Linked DNA regions of Macaca fascicularis. The protein of the gene in region 3 purifies or fractionates together with the protein of the main gene of each other region. This does not show direct contact. Links are inferred from orthologs where the notes say so. Each region holds a gene or a part of one and is shown on either strand. Other genes may lie near its edges. The genes, in order: SNX7, SNX30 and SNX4.

Region 1 (5,236 bases), on a different chromosome or scaffold from region 3:
ACACTTAATTTTCAGTAATGTATGGCTTTTTGTGTAGAAAATGTATAAGCAGTGAGCATTTTTTGTTCACTATCCATATAAATACAATTAAATTGTCTATATTCAGCCATCTTACAACTCATTAGGATTTGCTGATATCTGTCATATTTCTCTAAACAATTAAACTATTAAAACTTTAAAAGTTTGTATTAAATAAAAAGTTTAAAAATATGAAATTTAAAAACAATGTAGATACTAGTTGTTACCTAATGAACATTTAATCACCTCTATAGTCCTTCCAAACTCCACCTTCCTGATCCTAGGCCTGTCTTTCTGGTAAATAATGACCATACTGAACTAATTTCTAGAAAAGAAAATTTTCCACTTTCTTTTCTCAATTGAGTCAATTGAGAAATCTCAAATTTCTCAATGTATGTCAATATCTGTCATTAAACCTGAACAATATTTATGTTTATATGCAAAGCTGCCCTAAAATTCTAAACTGCACTTACATACCATTCAAATCACATCTGTATGCAAGCATTTAGTTAGCTGCACTGTAATTTGTCTGTTAATATACATATTTCCTAACTAGACTGTGAGCTTAACAGGTACCATCTTAATTACTCTTTGATACTCACTGTTAGCTTATAAAGCTCTTAACTACCAATAGTTTCCAGAGATCTCTTTGAATTGCCATACCACCTAACTACGCAGCCAGAATCTACTTAATAGAACTGGAATCACAGAACCTAGTTAAAATAATTCACCTCTTCAGGTTAAAAAAAAAAAAAAGACAAATAATAAATGTAAGGGCAAACCAAGGAGGTTTAAAACAAATTATTATACTATATTCAGTCACTACAGTAATCTCATCAGGTGTCAACGCATGAATAAAAAAGGTAGAAAAGGGGCAAAGTACATTCAGTTATAAGTTTTTTCTGTATCTCTTTTTAAAACCAATCAATTCTTAATAAAGCACATTTTCCTACACCATTCCAAATCTTATGTTCATTCGTGTTTTTTTTCAATCATTGAACAAATTTTAATTGAGTGCTTATTATGATTAAACACCATCTGAATACTAGAAATAAAATATTTCCCAGCTTATCCTGATGGGCAGTACAGTTAAGTAGAAGTCAATTAACAAATAAGCCATTAACTTAGGGACTTTTGTTTGTCTTTATGTAGTTCCTGATCTCTAATAACAAATTATATTAGGAAATTATTTGCTGACTCAGTTATCTATTTTTTAATGTAAGTAAATGCAATTAGAAAATTAGTGAAAAAATCACATGATTAGAATTAGAAGAAATTCATCATAAATTCTGACTTATAAACTAAAAAAAAAAAAAAAAAGAAAATAGGAAAAGAGGCAGATTTTCCAATACATAAATCTCTCTGCCATACTTTGACAGTATAATACAGAATACCTGTTCCCTCCAGAAAAAAATAATTACCAGAAAATGTGAAAACCTATTTCCTGAAACATCACTTCTTTGATTCTGAGCTCTGTGCCATGTTGAATACAAACTTCATAAAACTACATCCACAGTCATAAACTCAGGGCTTACTTTACCACTATTATCTATGAATGGGAAGTAGAGCAGCTAGTGATTGATAAAAGTGAAAATGGAGACTGGCCATAACTACCTTTGAAATCATTTAGGAATCACAAATGTCCATAACATGGCTGGGAATAAGCCACACTTTGAAGCTGACATTCTAACTGCATGTTGCTATACTACACGAACAAATGTGAAGATTCATTAGAAACTGAACAACTGTGAAAACACATTTCAGTAATTCTACTTACCCCTTTCTTCCTTATAAATTCTCTGAGATATTTTATCTATCAAATTTATTTTCTGGCTAAATAGTTCAATAAAGTTATTCATTTCCATGAACTCCTCTGGGCGGTTTTTAACTCCTCTCATTGAGGATGCAACAGCTCTGACTGTTTGCCCCATCCTGCTTAGCAATCCGGGACCTTGCTTCTTGTGAGAAGAGAGTTCCTAGAAACAAAAAACAAAATATTTCTAGTGAAACATGTCTCAATATTCCGAGACTCAATACAAAAAGAAACCTAATTAGGAGAATAAAATTAAGATAAAATGGTTTCATAGGCATTTAGTGTTAGCTTGAAGCAGATGAGCTTTATTAAGGTACAGTGTCCCAACTGGCAGCCTCCTTGATAATATTCCCTTTCACAGGACTCATGTAAAACAGGTATACAGTCGTTCCTCAGACCATAAATCTTTAAAAGAACAGGGTTTAACAGACAGAATAGTGCTCAGTGAGATACTAGAGAAGACAAGGATAATATGACATACCATCTATATTTTATAACAGGAATTTAATGGAAAATGATTGAGATAAGATTTCTCAGGGCCTAAGTTATACTCTGAAAAATAAAATTGGAAAACTTCATTAATTCTTTAGATGTAATAGTAGCTAACATTTATTTAGAGCTTAATACATTCTGGGCACTATACTGACATTTTAATATACGTAATTTACCATAAACCTATGAGGTAGGTTTTATTATTTTCCTCATTTTACAGAAGAAAATAGAGGCACAGGAAAGTTAAGTAACTTGCTCAAGATCCTAGAGCAATTAAGTGATAGAGCAAGAACTGGAATCCTGGAAGTCTGATTCCAGAGACTTCATTATTAAGCACCAACTTGCTCTGCCCACTTAAAGTCATTAGGGTAGTTTGTCAATAGATACTACCTGACTATAGCACTTCAACCAAATGAAGCGGGTAAACTGTGACACCGCCTTCACTGGCTGGTTGTCTGCAGAGAAAATTTTTAATAAGGAACGTAACTAGTTATTTCATACTTAACCTAGGAGGAATAACTATAGACTTGAAAAACAGATAGAAGAAATCCTATAAAAGAATATATTACACACAAACATATCCCTTGAGAAGTATGGCATAAGATAAAAGAACAAATAAAAACAAAAGAAAGGACAAGGGATTCTAATAATGGTTATGGCCTTTGTTGAAACACAAGCTTGGGATCAAATAAAATACTGCTGACTACCTAATCTACAGATAAAAATATCATATATTATTTACCCAAATATTAAATAACACATTGTCTATCTTCTTCCAGGTTTTCGTTCCTGAATATCTTACAGAAAATAATACATACAAAGTAAACTTGTTTATTTCCAATTCAGTGTGTTTTTTTTGTGCCAATAACAACAGATGCCATCCTTGACCAGGCAACACATCCATCCAAGAGTACTACAGCCTCATTTGATAGAGTAAACATTATCAGAGACAGCTCACGTCACAACTGGCAAGCTGTTACTGAAACTGTTGACTGTAGAGAATATTTCTAACAGCTTCTAAGTTCTGAAGTCAGGCCACATATTCATTTCACATAAGTCACAAAGGGCTTCCATAGAGCAGGACTATCTGTCAAGATTGAAATGAACCACTTTTTAGCTTCCACCACTGGCAATAACTGAGAGATATAAAACTCAACATTTGTCAGTAACTGTTTAATATTGACTCTTTGTCCTATCTGGTATCTTTCTTGCAGAGTTATAGCTTTATAGAATAAAAGAAAAAACAAGTAGAATGGATAAGGTTTCCATATTAGAAATTAGGCACTCTCCCACTTAGATAATTAAAGGAAAAGTAAGGAGATTATATTATCTGTCCATCCATCTGTCCATCCATCCATCCATCCATCCATCCATCCATCCATCCATTCATCTATCTCCATTCATCCATCTACCCATTTAATAAGGACTTTTATCCTAGCTTAAAAAGCCCTGATCCATTATTACTCAAAATAAAGTAGACCCTTGAACAACACAGGTGTGACCTGAGCAGGTCCACACATGTGGACTTTTTTCAATAAATATATTGGAAAATTTTTTGGAGATTTGCAACAATTAAAAACAACTCACAAACCACATAGTCTAGAAATGTAGAAAAACCGGAGAGAAAGGTATGTCATGAATGCACAAAATATATGTAGATACTAGTCTATCATTTACTACCCTAAAATGTATATAAATCAATTATAAAAAGTTAACATTTATCAAAACGTGTGCACATATTTTGGCTCACATGCCACCATTTGCAGTTGAGAGAAACATAAACAAACATAAAGATGCTGTATTAAATCAAAACCGATTAAAATTAACTACAGTACACACTGTACTACTGTACTATTTTTGTAGCCCTCCTGTTGCTATTTGTGGCTAGCTGAAGTGTTGCGAATATCCGCTTAAAACGCCATGTGACGCTGATCATCTCCGTGCGAGTAGTTCATCTCTCCAGTAAATCGGGTATAGCAGTAAAAAGTGATCTCTTGTGGTTCCCATGTATTTTTTATTGTGTTTAGTGCAATACTATAAACCTGAAATAATACCATGGGACCCATATGAAGTGCCACTAGTGATGCTGGAAATGTTCCCAAGAAGCAGAGAAAAGTCATGGCATTACAAAAAAAGTTGAATTGCTTGCTAAGTACCATACATTGAGGTCTGCCACTGTCATTGCCCTCCATTTCAGACTGACAATTCATCTGGTAGACAGACAACATAAACTTATGGTATCAATAGATACAGTAGGATACTGTTAGTGTATTTTCTCTTCCTTAGGATTTTCTTAAATAACCTTTTCTTTTCTCTAGGTTACTTTACTGCAAAAAATACAGTATATAATACACAAAAGATATAAATATGTGTTAACCAACTGTTTATGGTATAGTTAAGGCTTCCAATCAACAGGAGGCTGCTAGTAAAGTTTCTGGGGAATTAAAAGTTACACATGGATTTTCAACTTCATAAGGGGTTGGCTTCCCTAACTGCCATGTTGTTCAAGGGTCAACTATAGTGTCAATAAAAGAAATACATTTATAGCTGTTCAGTATTTGCTATTTATGCAAGAAGCACCCTGACATTAAAACATTAAAGAGAGAGAGAAAGAGAGAGTGTGTGTGTGTATGTGTGTGTGTATGTATATATATACGTATGAAGATACAAGATTTCTGTAATATTTATATGTAGATTTGACACAGGGTTATACCTGAAGGATAACTCTCCAGTGTTTCTGAAAAATTCCATCTCAATTCAAGTACACCACTGCGTGATTTGTAAAGGTAAACAAGAGGAAGAATACAATCTACTATAGATCTAGACACCCAAAGATTATATGAGTATAAATAAAAATCATTTACCCAAGCTTGTGCAGTGAGAAAAATTTTGAAGTCTTCATTAAATGTTAAA
Region 2 (5,742 bases), on a different chromosome or scaffold from region 3:
AGTACTTTGGGAGGCTGAGGTGGACAGATCACCTGAGGTCAGAAGTTTGAGACCAGCCAGGCTAACATGGTGACACCCCATCTCTACTAAAAATACAAAAATTAGCCAGGTGTGGTGGCGGTCACCTGTAATCCCAGCTACTCAGGAGGCTGAGGCAGGAGAATCACACGAACCCAGGAGGCAGAAGATGTAGTGAGATTCCACCACTACACTCTAGCCTGGGCAACAGCAAGACTCTGTCTCAAAAAAAAGAAAAAAAAAAAAAAAAGGTGAGTTTAGCAGGCATCAAAAGAATTAGTCCTGGCAACCTCTGGTAGATAGAAAGGATTCCTCCTTTGGGAGCCTATGAAGGGAGGCATCACACCATGATTTGAAAAATTTGAGAAACTGGTGGACAGTCCATCATATTTGGTCTTTCTCTTCTACCCAAGCACTACAGAGTTCATTCACAAGTGTCAGCTGGACCAAGACACAAGGCTACCCTGTTCATAGCACCATCTTGGCCCCTCAGAAAGCAATTCCCCTCTGCATAATAACCCTGTACTATGATCAGCCTGTCAAATCTTCATTCCTCTAGCCCAGAACTGACCCAGAATCCCTGTCATCCAGGATCACAACCCTAGTATCTAATAAGACAAAACTGGCTTCTTTTCAAAGACAGACCATAGCACTGAAGTGTCCTACCACCCCTTTGATGACCCTCATGCTGCTGAGGCAGGAGAAAGCCAGCCACAGGGAAGGCTTCCTTCTTCTGGCTCTGACTCACCTCTGTGGCTTGCTAGCTTCTCTCTACAGAAATTTCTTCAGAGTTATGAGACCATACGGGGATGCCAAGATTCAAGGAAAATGTTACTCCTAGTCAGAGAAAGAAATTACAATGCTTAGCCTCTAAGGAAAAGTGGCTTACTATAAATCGGGCCCTTGAGAATGGTGTCATTTAGATGCTCCCCACAGCTGTTAGGAGATTTAATAAATATTCAATAATTAGGCCAGGCACCGTGGCTCACGCCTGTAATCCCAGCACTTTGGGAGGCCAAGGCGGGCAGATCACTTGAGGCCAGGAGTTCGAGACTAGTCTGGCCAACATAGCGAAACCTCGTCTCTACTAAAAATACAAAAATTACCCAGTCAAGGTGGCACACGCCTGTAATCCCAGCTACACGAGAGCTGAGGCACGAGAATCACTTCGACCAGGGAGGTGGAGATTGCAGTGAGTCAGGATCAGGCCACTGCACTCCAGCCTGGGTGACAGAGTGAGTCTCTGTCTCAAAAAATACATATATATTCAATAATTAAGAATGCCTCCAAGACTCAACCTCCCACACAGAACAGACCCTTTAAAGGAAGCCATCAGTAATTAGACCTGAGACTGACTTCTTGACCACTAACTAGATCTTGGTGGTACGGAGAATTTGTCTTCCAAGTACTTACTAGTAAAACACCCATACTTCTGAGTCAGGTATCATCCATGAGTGATTCGTTAAGCAAATATTTAAAATAGCTATCTGTAGTAGTCAGTCTCCAAGATGGCCCAATGATCCCCACCTCTTGGTATGCACACCCTGGTATTCACACCGTCTCCCCACATTGTACCAGTGTCAATCTGTGTGACCGACAGAATACATCAGAGGCATGTCATTTCCAAGGTAAGTTATACAAGACTGGCTAGAGTCTTGGGCTCTCTTGGATCACTTGCTCTAGGGGAGAAAACCAGTTGCCACATCCAACAGCCCTATGGAGAGTAACTAAGGCCTGCCAACAGCCATGTGAGTGAGCTTAGAAGTGGATCCTCCCCTAATCCAGCCTTCAGATGACTGCAACCTCAAGAAAGGCCTAATTCAGAACCACTCAGATTGTCCCACAGACACTATTTCCAGGTGGTAAGTTTTGGGGGTAATTTGCTACACAGCAATAGATAATTAATTCAGTATCCTACACAGAACTGAGAAGGAAATGAGGTTTAACCCCAGTTCCTACACTATTTTAAGACCAATTTTTGTCCATAAGAAAGCAAATTTATTCAGTCATTCAACATTTTTTGGAGACAGGGTCTCACTCTCTTGCCCAGGCTGGAGTACAGCGGTGCAATCATAGCTCACTGCAGCCCTGAACTCCCGGGCTCAAGCAATCCTCCAGCCTCAGCCTCCCTGAGTAGCCTGGACTACAGGTGCATGCCACCATAGTGTGTGTGTGTGTGTGTGTGTGTGTGTGTGTGTGTGTGTGTGTAGATGGGGTCTCAATATGTTGCCCAGGCAGGTCTCAAACTTTTGGCCCAGAGCAATCATCCTGCCTCAGCCTCCCAAAGTGCTGGTATTACAGTTGTGAGCCACTGCACCCGGCCTCCATTAGCTTTTTTAAATGTTCCTGTCCCTAATGCTTTGGAACTTCACTCCCAGCTTTCACAAACCCTGTGCAGAAGGTACATCAAGTCAAGTCCCACTCTCTAGTGATTTTAAGTGCTGCAAGGCGGGCAGGTTATATTTTCTCATACTCATTTTTTTACTGTACCACATGGTGTCCCCTCTGACGGGAGAAGAAAGTTAGGTCCCCTGCTCCCATTAATATTGGGACAAGGGGGAATCCATTTAGTATTTTACTAGGGAGAGAAAATCTTGATCACAAGACCTGAGAACAATGCTAATTTCTGCAGTTAGCGACTAAGCGACAGCAGGAGCGAGGATACAATCACTGCTCAAGTCCCCTTCACAGCTGAAATGGCCATGGAGATAGGGAGGAGGCCGTCCCTTACCCCTGCCTGGACTCTGCTGTGTCTCCAAGCAGCAGGAGGGTTGTGCTGCTCCAAGAAAATCTGGAGCCTCCCTCTGTACAAAGAAGGTCAAAGGGCGAGCTTTCTTTCCATCAACCACAAAACCAGCCGCTGCCAAACCTAAACAGAGTGGTAGGCCGTCGGAGGTGAATGGAGCCCCAGACAGAAAACCACAACGAGGCTCTCCTCCCGCCGCCGGCTGGGGTCTGAGTCAGGTGACTCCTCAGGACAAACAGCAAACCTAAACAAAGATCACTCCCCACATGACTGACTCGGGGGAAGAAGACTCTCGCTGTAAGCCCAGGGCTGCCCGGTCCCAGCACGGAAAGCCATGAACTCCTGCTTCTGTGCAGTCTCAGGAAACTGGAGGAGCTACAAGTTATGCAGCAGCTCAGCCTGCAGGGATGCACCTGGAGGAACTCGGAACCCCATCCGAGGACACAGGCGCCCTGCCCTGCACACGCGCCTCCCGCCCCAACACGCAGGCTGGACCCCTCCCCACCAGCTGTCACCGGCGCTCGCGACCAGTCACAGGCAGCGAAACCCGTCCCTCTGCGGCTGCGACCCCGCGGAGGCGGCAGAGGAGACGCTTTCGCCGAGAGCTCCGGGGCCAGGGCACGCCAGTCCCCCGGGAAGGGGCGGCAGGGTGGGCGCGGCCCCAGGCCCAGGAAGGCTCCGGATCCATCATCCCCCCAACGGGGAGCGAAATAAGCCTCCCAGACCCCAGCCCCAGGCGCCCCACCTTGTCACCGAAGCTGCGGGCCATCAGCAGGTCCGGGCTGGGCGTGCTGTCACCACCCACGGCCTCCTCGCTGCTGGAGCCGGCCAGCGGGTGCGGCATGTCGCGCAGGGAGTGGGGCCCCGTGGACGGCAGGGCCTTGGGGGGCCCGCCCGCCATGGCGCGCACCGCTCGGGACGCGCCGCCGCCGCTTCCTCCTGCTGCCCGCCGCTGCGAGCTCCCCGAGCGCCCCGGGCCGAGCCCCGCTCGGCCGCCGCTCAGCCCGAGGCCTTCCACCGGCCGGGCCGGGAGCCGCTGCCACCCGCCGGCTAGTGTCTGCCGGCGCTGAGACGCTCAGCTCCGCGCCGCGCGTCCCCGCTCCGCGCCCTAGCCCGCCGCGGGTCCGCTGGCAGCACGGCCGCGGCGCCCAGCCCGCACAGCCACGCCGCCCACCCGCTCCGGCCCCGCCCCCGAGGCGCCGCGGCTGCCCGGGAGGGGGCGGGGAGGGCGGGGGGAGCGGGGAGGGGGCACGTGGGGAAGGAGGGAGGGAAGGAGGGAGGGAGAGAGGGAGGGAGGAGGTGCAGCCCCGCCCCCGCCCGGCAGGAAGTGCGCTGTGGGCCTCTGCGTCTGTCCTCCCAGTGTCCAACGTTGCCTCGCGGAGGCCGCCGTGCGGAGCAAATGTTTAACGGAAATCAGAGGTGGAAAAGAGGTTGGAGGAGCCTGCTCCGTTCCACTCGCTTTTACTGATGCGCCCACCAGCAGCCACGCTTGGGGCTGGCGGCTTTGAGGACACGCACGTGAGTCAGGGTCTTATGGCCTCTAAGGCACGCGCAGGAAGAACCCAAAATAGACGGAATTACGACCCATATCGGAAGAATAGCATAAAGGGCGACGAGGCTCAAAGGAGCTAGAGGACATCGGGTGGGGAACCTGGAAGGGGCTTCAAGGAGGGGGTGTGGGGAGTCTTCAGCCTCACTCTGAGGTCCCCATTGTGTCTTGCTTCTGCAGCTGACCAAGGTTTGTGTAAAGTCAAACCTCAGAAGAGTGAGCATGAGGATAGAGCTGCAAATGATATACGACTCTTCAACTCACACTTTCGCCGAAGAGACTTTTGAAAGAACCATGAGGTTCAAGTTATTTTTCATGCATTTGTGTTTCCTTTCCAGGCCTTGGGCTGAGCTGATTCTCAGCTTTATTTGCTGGCATGGTGCAAATAGTCAAGGTGTTACTTCCAGCCCATTGGGGTGTAGATTAACCTCCTTTTTCCACCTTACCTGTCCCTAGATCTTCTGTTTCCAAGGCCAAGTCTTTAAAGGGTTTTCAGTCCCTCTAGCAAAGTAATGGGTAGGGAGGCTTATCGTGAGGGACCACATTTTCCCTACCCATTCCAAACTCAAAGGTTTGCCTAGCTTTACCTGCTAAAAGGTGATGACAGATTTTGACTCTGGGATTCACTAAGGCCTCTACCACAGTTTTCTCTAGAAACAAGTAGAAGAGAATGCAGAGGGTTGAAACCTACCCAAAATATCAGTCAGAGACTCTGAGCTTCAAAGACCTTCCCTTGTTTCCCCCAATGTAATTTATATAGGGCTGGACCCTTAGTCCTCAAGCTGTCATCTTTATCTCCTCCACATAAGCCTGCCTTGGCTGGGAAAAAAATAGCATTCAAAGGGCACTGGGAACAATTTTAAATGGTGCATCTAAGGAATGCCAAGTTCTGGTCCTCTTGGAGTTGGATTAAAATTGTTAACACTTTCACATTCAAGGACTGCTTACAACTACTACAGACCCTATTATCTGTTCTTCTGAATTAGCATTAAAACAAATAGCACAATATAACTAGAAATGAGTATTCTATAGATGTATAACATAGGTTTTTCTTATTGAATGGTGCTACTTATTTTAACAACCAGGCTGCCTTAAATATGATGGAGATCTGTGTGGATTAAGACTCTATACAAGCTTTCTCTTTAGGGCACCAGGGGAAAGTGAAAAAAGAACCACATTTGAATTCTGCTTTGTCACTACAAGTGGGTGACCATAAGCAAGTTACTAACCTCAGTGAACCTGTTCCTAACCTGAAAAGGAGGAGAATGGAGAGCAGGTAATAATACCTTATGAGATGGTTGTGAGAGTTAAATAGCATTCTTTATGTCATAGTCCTAGCCAAGTGCTGGCATGGAATAGATGCTCCCTAAATGTTAACTACCTACCTTCCCTTCCCTTTCTGTCAGACTTCTTCTACTATTCTTATGAA
Region 3 (5,236 bases):
GCATATTTAAAATCTGCACAACTCACGCTCAAACTTGGGCATCTATTAATAAAACAGGATACCTAAATCCAAGCATTGGAAGGCAGCCTCAAGCTTCACTGCTTTAACATTTCCTCACTTTCTGGAGTTTACTGAAGAAAACACTTTTCCCTTGACATGCAGGAATAGGGAACCAAGCTCCCTGAAAATGGCCTGGGAACTTCTCCCACTGAATTTTAAAAATAAACCAAGGGCCTAGTTTATACATGTGTCCCGGTCACAAGTCTTTCCCCACATATATTATGACTTTTCATAGATGTAACCAGTAGGTAATATATGTGAAAAGCACTTTTAAAACTACAGTGCTTGGCCAGGTGCGGTGGCTCACGCCTGCAGCAATTTGGGAGGCCGAGGCGGATGGATCACGAGGTCAGGAGACTGAGACTATCCTGGCTAACACGGTGAAACCCCGTCTCTACTAAAAACACACAAAAAAATTAGTCAGGTGTGGCGGCGGGCACCTGTAGTCCCAGGTACTCGGGAGGCTGAGGCAGGAGAATGGTGTGAACCCAGGAGGTGGAGCTTGCAGTGAGCTGCACTCTAGCCTGGGTGACAGAATGAGACTTCATCTAAGGAAAAAAAAAAAAACAAAACTACAGTGCTTATTAACTAAGGAGAGACACTGCTGCCGGTTTACTACTTTCAGAATGTGTTGCTCACCATGATGGCTAATTTATTGCAAGGAAATAACCGGAGAGTAGAAAGCTTATTATAAAAATGATCCAAGACTAATGCAACCAGATATAGAATTTTCCTCACAAGTACTCACTGTAAGCATTAAAGAATAAAATACATCAAAAGCTCCCTGTTAGGCAAGATGCACTGGTTCTAAGTGGGTAAGGCTTTTCAAAGTCAACTCAAATTTCTACAAAGTACCTTGCAAAGTTAAACCTGATAAAGGTCATTGCATGTTTTTTCACTTGGACTTAGAAACCAGATGACTGACTAGGCATGGTGGCTTACCTTTGTAATCCTAGCACTTTGGGAGGCTGAGGTGGGAGGATCACTTGAGTCCAGGAGTTTGAGACCACCCTGGTCAACACGATGAGACTATAAACAAAATCAGCCAGGCCGGGGGGCGGCGGCACATGCCTGTGGTCCCAGCTACTCAAGAGGCTGAGGCAGGAGGATCGCTTGACCCCAGGAGTTTGAGGCTTCCATGAGCCCTGATCACACCACTGCACTCCAGCCTGGGCGACAGAGCCAGACCTTGTCTCAAAAAATAAAAATAAATAAAAACAATTTTTTTTTGAGATGGAGTCTCACTCTGTCACCCAGGCTAGAGTGCAATAGTCTGACCTCGGCTAGCTGCAACCTTCGCCTCTCCGGTTCAAGCAATTCTTCTGCCTCAGCTTTCCGAGTAGCTGGGACTACAGGTGTAAGCAACCACACCTGGCTAATTTTTGTATTTTTAGTAGAGATCAGGTTTCGCCATGTTGGCCAGGCTAGTCTCGAACTCCTGACCCCAGGTGATCCATCAGCCTTGGCTTCCCAAAGTGCTGGGATTACAGGTGTGAGCCACAGTGCTCAGCCCAATAAACTTTTTTTTTTTAATTTTATTTATGTATTTATTTTTTGAGACAGAGTTTTGCTCTGTTGCCCAGGCTGGAGTACAGTGGCACGATCTCAGCTCACTGAAAGCTCCGCCTCCCAGGTGCACGCCATTCTCCTGCCTCAGCCTCCCGAGTAGCTGGGACTACAGGTGCCCGCCACCACTCCCGGCTAATTTTTTGTATTTTTAGTAGAGATGGGGTTTCACCATGTTAGCCAGGATGGTCTTTTTTTTTTTTTTTTTTTTTTTTGAGACGGAGTCATGCTCTGTCGCCCAGGCTGGAGTGCAGTGGCCGGATCTCAGCTCACTGCAAGCTCCGCCTCCCGGGTTCACGCCATTCTCCTGCCTCAGCCTCCCAAGTAGCTGGGACTACAGGCGCCCGCCACTTCGCCCGGCTAGTTTTTTTTTTTGTATTTTTTAGTAGAGATGGGGTTTCACCGTGTTAGCCAGGATGGTCTCGATCTCCTGACCTCGTGATCCGCCCGTCTCGGCCTCCCAAAGTGCTGGGATTACAGGCTTGAGCCACCGCGCCCGGCCAGCCAGGATGGTCTTGATCTCCTAACCTCATGATCCACCCGCCTCGCCCTCCCAAAGTGCTGGGATTACAGGCGTGAGCCACCATGCCCAGCTAACTTTTTTTTTTTTAAAGAAACCAGATGATACTGATTACAGCAGAGAAATGTTGGCAAAATTTCTTATAATTCTATACAGTACATGGTTTTAAATGGCTTACATCTTTTTGTATCAAGATAATAACAAAATAATTATAAAGTTACTCACAAATTATTCCCCTGTAAAAGGTGCAGCCGTCCTGAGTATTGCAACTGAAGCTGATTCCACAGGAGTGAGTTACTCACTTAGAGTGAGTGCTTGTGAGGAACATTCCATGTTGCTACAATATCATCAGAGGCCAAAAGAAAAATACTCACCCCAGTTGCCAGTTCCTCACACTGCTGCTTCTTGGACGCTAAGTCCTGAGCAGCCATCTCCAAGTCATACTGCATAAGTTCATGTTTCCTGCACACAGCCCTACAGATGAAAAAATGTGCTGCCATTTAACTTTTTCTTTAACATGTCAAACATATTTTTCAAGGGTAGAGGAGAACCATTCACAACGTCTCACTAGGGCAGAACGTGTGTGCCCAGAATTTTCAAGTTTAGAATGCAGTAGCCCAACATTAGAAGTGGAATCTAGCAAAATCTAACCATAAAAACTTCGTATATTCTTTTTTTTTTGGAGACAGAGTTTTGCTCTTGTTGCCCAGGCTGGAGTGCAATGGCGTGATCTTGGCTCACTGCAACCTCCACCTCCCGGGTTCAAATGATTTTCCTGCCTCAGCTTCTTGAGTAGCTGGGATTACAGGCATGCACCACCATGCCCAGCTAATTTTGTATTTTTAGTAGAGACGGGGTTTCTCCATGTTGGTCAGGCTGATCTTAAACTCCTGACCTCATGTGACCTGCCCACTTCGGCCTCCTGAAGTGCTGGGATTACAGGCATGAGCCACTGCACCCCGCCAAAAACGTCATATATTCTTAACACAAAAAAAGTTGTTTTATAGATACTTGGAACATTTCTTTCAATAAACATGCCATTATCACATACATAAAACATTTTTTAATATAATGTAAGAACTAATGCTGTAATCTCACATAGCACTGAGTATTCTTAGAAAAAATAATACCTCAAAGTTTTCTTCTTTGTGATTTAGAAAATGTCTATTAGCTTTTTTTTTTTTTTGGAGACAAGGTCTCACTCTGTCACCCAGGCTGGAGTGCAGTGGTGCAATCTTGGCTCACAGCAACCTCTGCCTCCTGGGTTTAGGCAATCCTCCCACCTCAGCCTCCTAAGTAGCTAGGACTAAGGCATGTGCCACCACGCCCAGCTAATTTGTGCTTTGTAGAGATGGGGTCTCGCCCATGTTGCCCAGGCTGGTCTCAAACTCATGGGCTCAAGCAATCCATCCACCTCAGTTTCCCAAAGTGCTAGGATTATATGCGTGAGCCATGTCGCCCGGCCTAGAAATGTTTATAGTTTTTATGATCATAAAAGTAACCCATGTTCACTGTAAAAAGATTCTAATACAGCAATGCACAAAATAAAAAAAAGAGGCTGGGCGTGGTGGCTCACGCCAGTAATCCCAGCACTTTGGGAGGCTGAGGTGGGCAGATCACCTGAGGTCAGGAGTTCGAGACCAGCCTGACCAATGTGATAAAACCCCATCTCTACTAAAAATACAAAAATTAGCCGGGGGTGGTGGCGCATGCCTGTAATTCCAGCTACTTGGGAGGCTGAAGCAGGAGAATCACTTGTACCCAGGAGGCAGAGGTTGCAGTTAGCAGAGATTGTGCCACTGCACTCCAGTCTGGGCAACAGAGTGAGACGCCGTCTCAAAAAAATAAAAAATACAAAATACAAAAAGAAAGTTCAAGAACACTCTTTCCTCCAATCCCACTATCCAGATATAATCTGTGTTACCAGATAGTACATAACCTTCCAGAATTTAGCTAGGCATTGACAAATACCATATCCACACACCCCAAATGGTTCCTACCTCTTTTCTCACATGGCTATATATCCTGGCCATCTTTCCATGTCAATATACCTTAATCCTTTTTATAATTTTTAAGAGCTGCAGAGAATTCCACTGTACTCAGAAATTTTCTCTTTTTTTTTTTTTGAGATGCAGTCTCGCTCTGTTGTCCAGGCTAGAGTGTAATGATGTGATCTCGGCTCACTGCAACCTCCACCTCCCCCGTTCAAGCCTTAGCCTCTCCAGTAGCTGGGATTACAGGCACCCACCACTATGCCTGGCTAACTTTTTTATAATTTTAGTAGAGATGGTGTTTCACCATGTTGGCTAGGCTGGTCTCGAACTCCTGGCCTCAGGTAATCTATCTGCCTCGGCCTCCCAAAGTGCTGGGATTCAGGCAGGAGCCACCTCACCCGGCCAACTTTCTTTTGCTTGGTGACTTGAAAATACATTGGTGAGACTTCCTACTACTCAAAGCCCTAGAAGGAAAACAAGCTAACAATGTGCAGATGATTTCACACCAGTCACCATACAGGTAAGGGAATAGTGATCTTTTGTTTTTCTAACAGAATTCTTATACTGCTTTTAAAAGTGACAGGACAGCGGTGGCTCATGCCTGTAATCCCAGCACTTTGAGAGGCTGAGGCGGGCAGAATACCTGAGGTCAGGAGTTTCAGACCAGCCTGGCCAACATGGTGAAACCCTGTCTCTACTAAAAATACAAAAATTAGCCGAGTGTGTTGGCGGGCGCCTGTAATCCCAGATACTTGGGAGGCTGAGGTAGGAGAATCGCTTGAACCTGGGAGGCAGAGGCTGCAGTGAGCCGAGATCACGCCACTGCCCTCCAGCCTGGGCGACACAGCCAAACTCTACTCTGTCTCAAAAAAAAAAAAAAAAAAAAAAAAGTGACAGGGTAACTGTCCAAAAGCCACCTATTCTGGGAAAATAATTCCTTTTTCTAAATTGATCAGAAAAAAATACATTAACTTTTTCCTAGTCACGTAGGACTACCTAAAAGAGAATTCCCTTTGGCTCTGTAAAAGATACCACAAGAACAGATAAGAAAGTCCTTGTTACATAAGGACGTTATACAAGCTACTGATAAGACACA

What was found.
Region 1: the proteins of SNX4 (region 3) and SNX7 purify together in Homo sapiens (affinity purification with mass spectrometry; 3 studies listed by BioGRID and IntAct, counting the BioPlex papers as one, with this or other methods). This does not show direct contact. The link is inferred for Macaca fascicularis from reciprocal best matches to the Homo sapiens genes SNX4 and SNX7.
Region 2: the proteins of SNX4 (region 3) and SNX30 purify together in Homo sapiens (co-immunoprecipitation; 4 studies listed by BioGRID and IntAct, counting the BioPlex papers as one, with this or other methods). This does not show direct contact. The link is inferred for Macaca fascicularis from reciprocal best matches to the Homo sapiens genes SNX4 and SNX30.

The regions. Positions count from the first base shown.
Region 1 is NC_088375.1:135,687,990-135,693,225, forward strand, and holds part of SNX7 (sorting nexin-7), read right to left. Parts: coding exon 5,188-5,236; intron 1,995-5,187; coding exon 1,796-1,994; intron 1-1,795. UniProt on the Homo sapiens protein: Involved in the regulation of endocytosis and in several stages of intracellular trafficking. Together with SNX4, involved in autophagosome assembly by regulating trafficking and recycling of phospholipid scramblase ATG9A.
Region 2 is NC_088389.1:45,332,848-45,338,589, forward strand, and holds the start of SNX30 (sorting nexin-30), read right to left. Parts: upstream 3,897-5,742; 5' UTR 3,666-3,896; coding exon 3,510-3,665; intron 1-3,509. UniProt on the Homo sapiens protein: Involved in the regulation of endocytosis and in several stages of intracellular trafficking. Together with SNX4, involved in autophagosome assembly.
Region 3 is NC_088376.1:157,793,933-157,799,168, reverse strand, and holds part of SNX4 (sorting nexin-4), read right to left. Parts: intron 2,621-5,236; coding exon 2,521-2,620; intron 1-2,520. UniProt on the Homo sapiens protein: Involved in the regulation of endocytosis and in several stages of intracellular trafficking. Plays a role in recycling endocytosed transferrin receptor and prevent its degradation.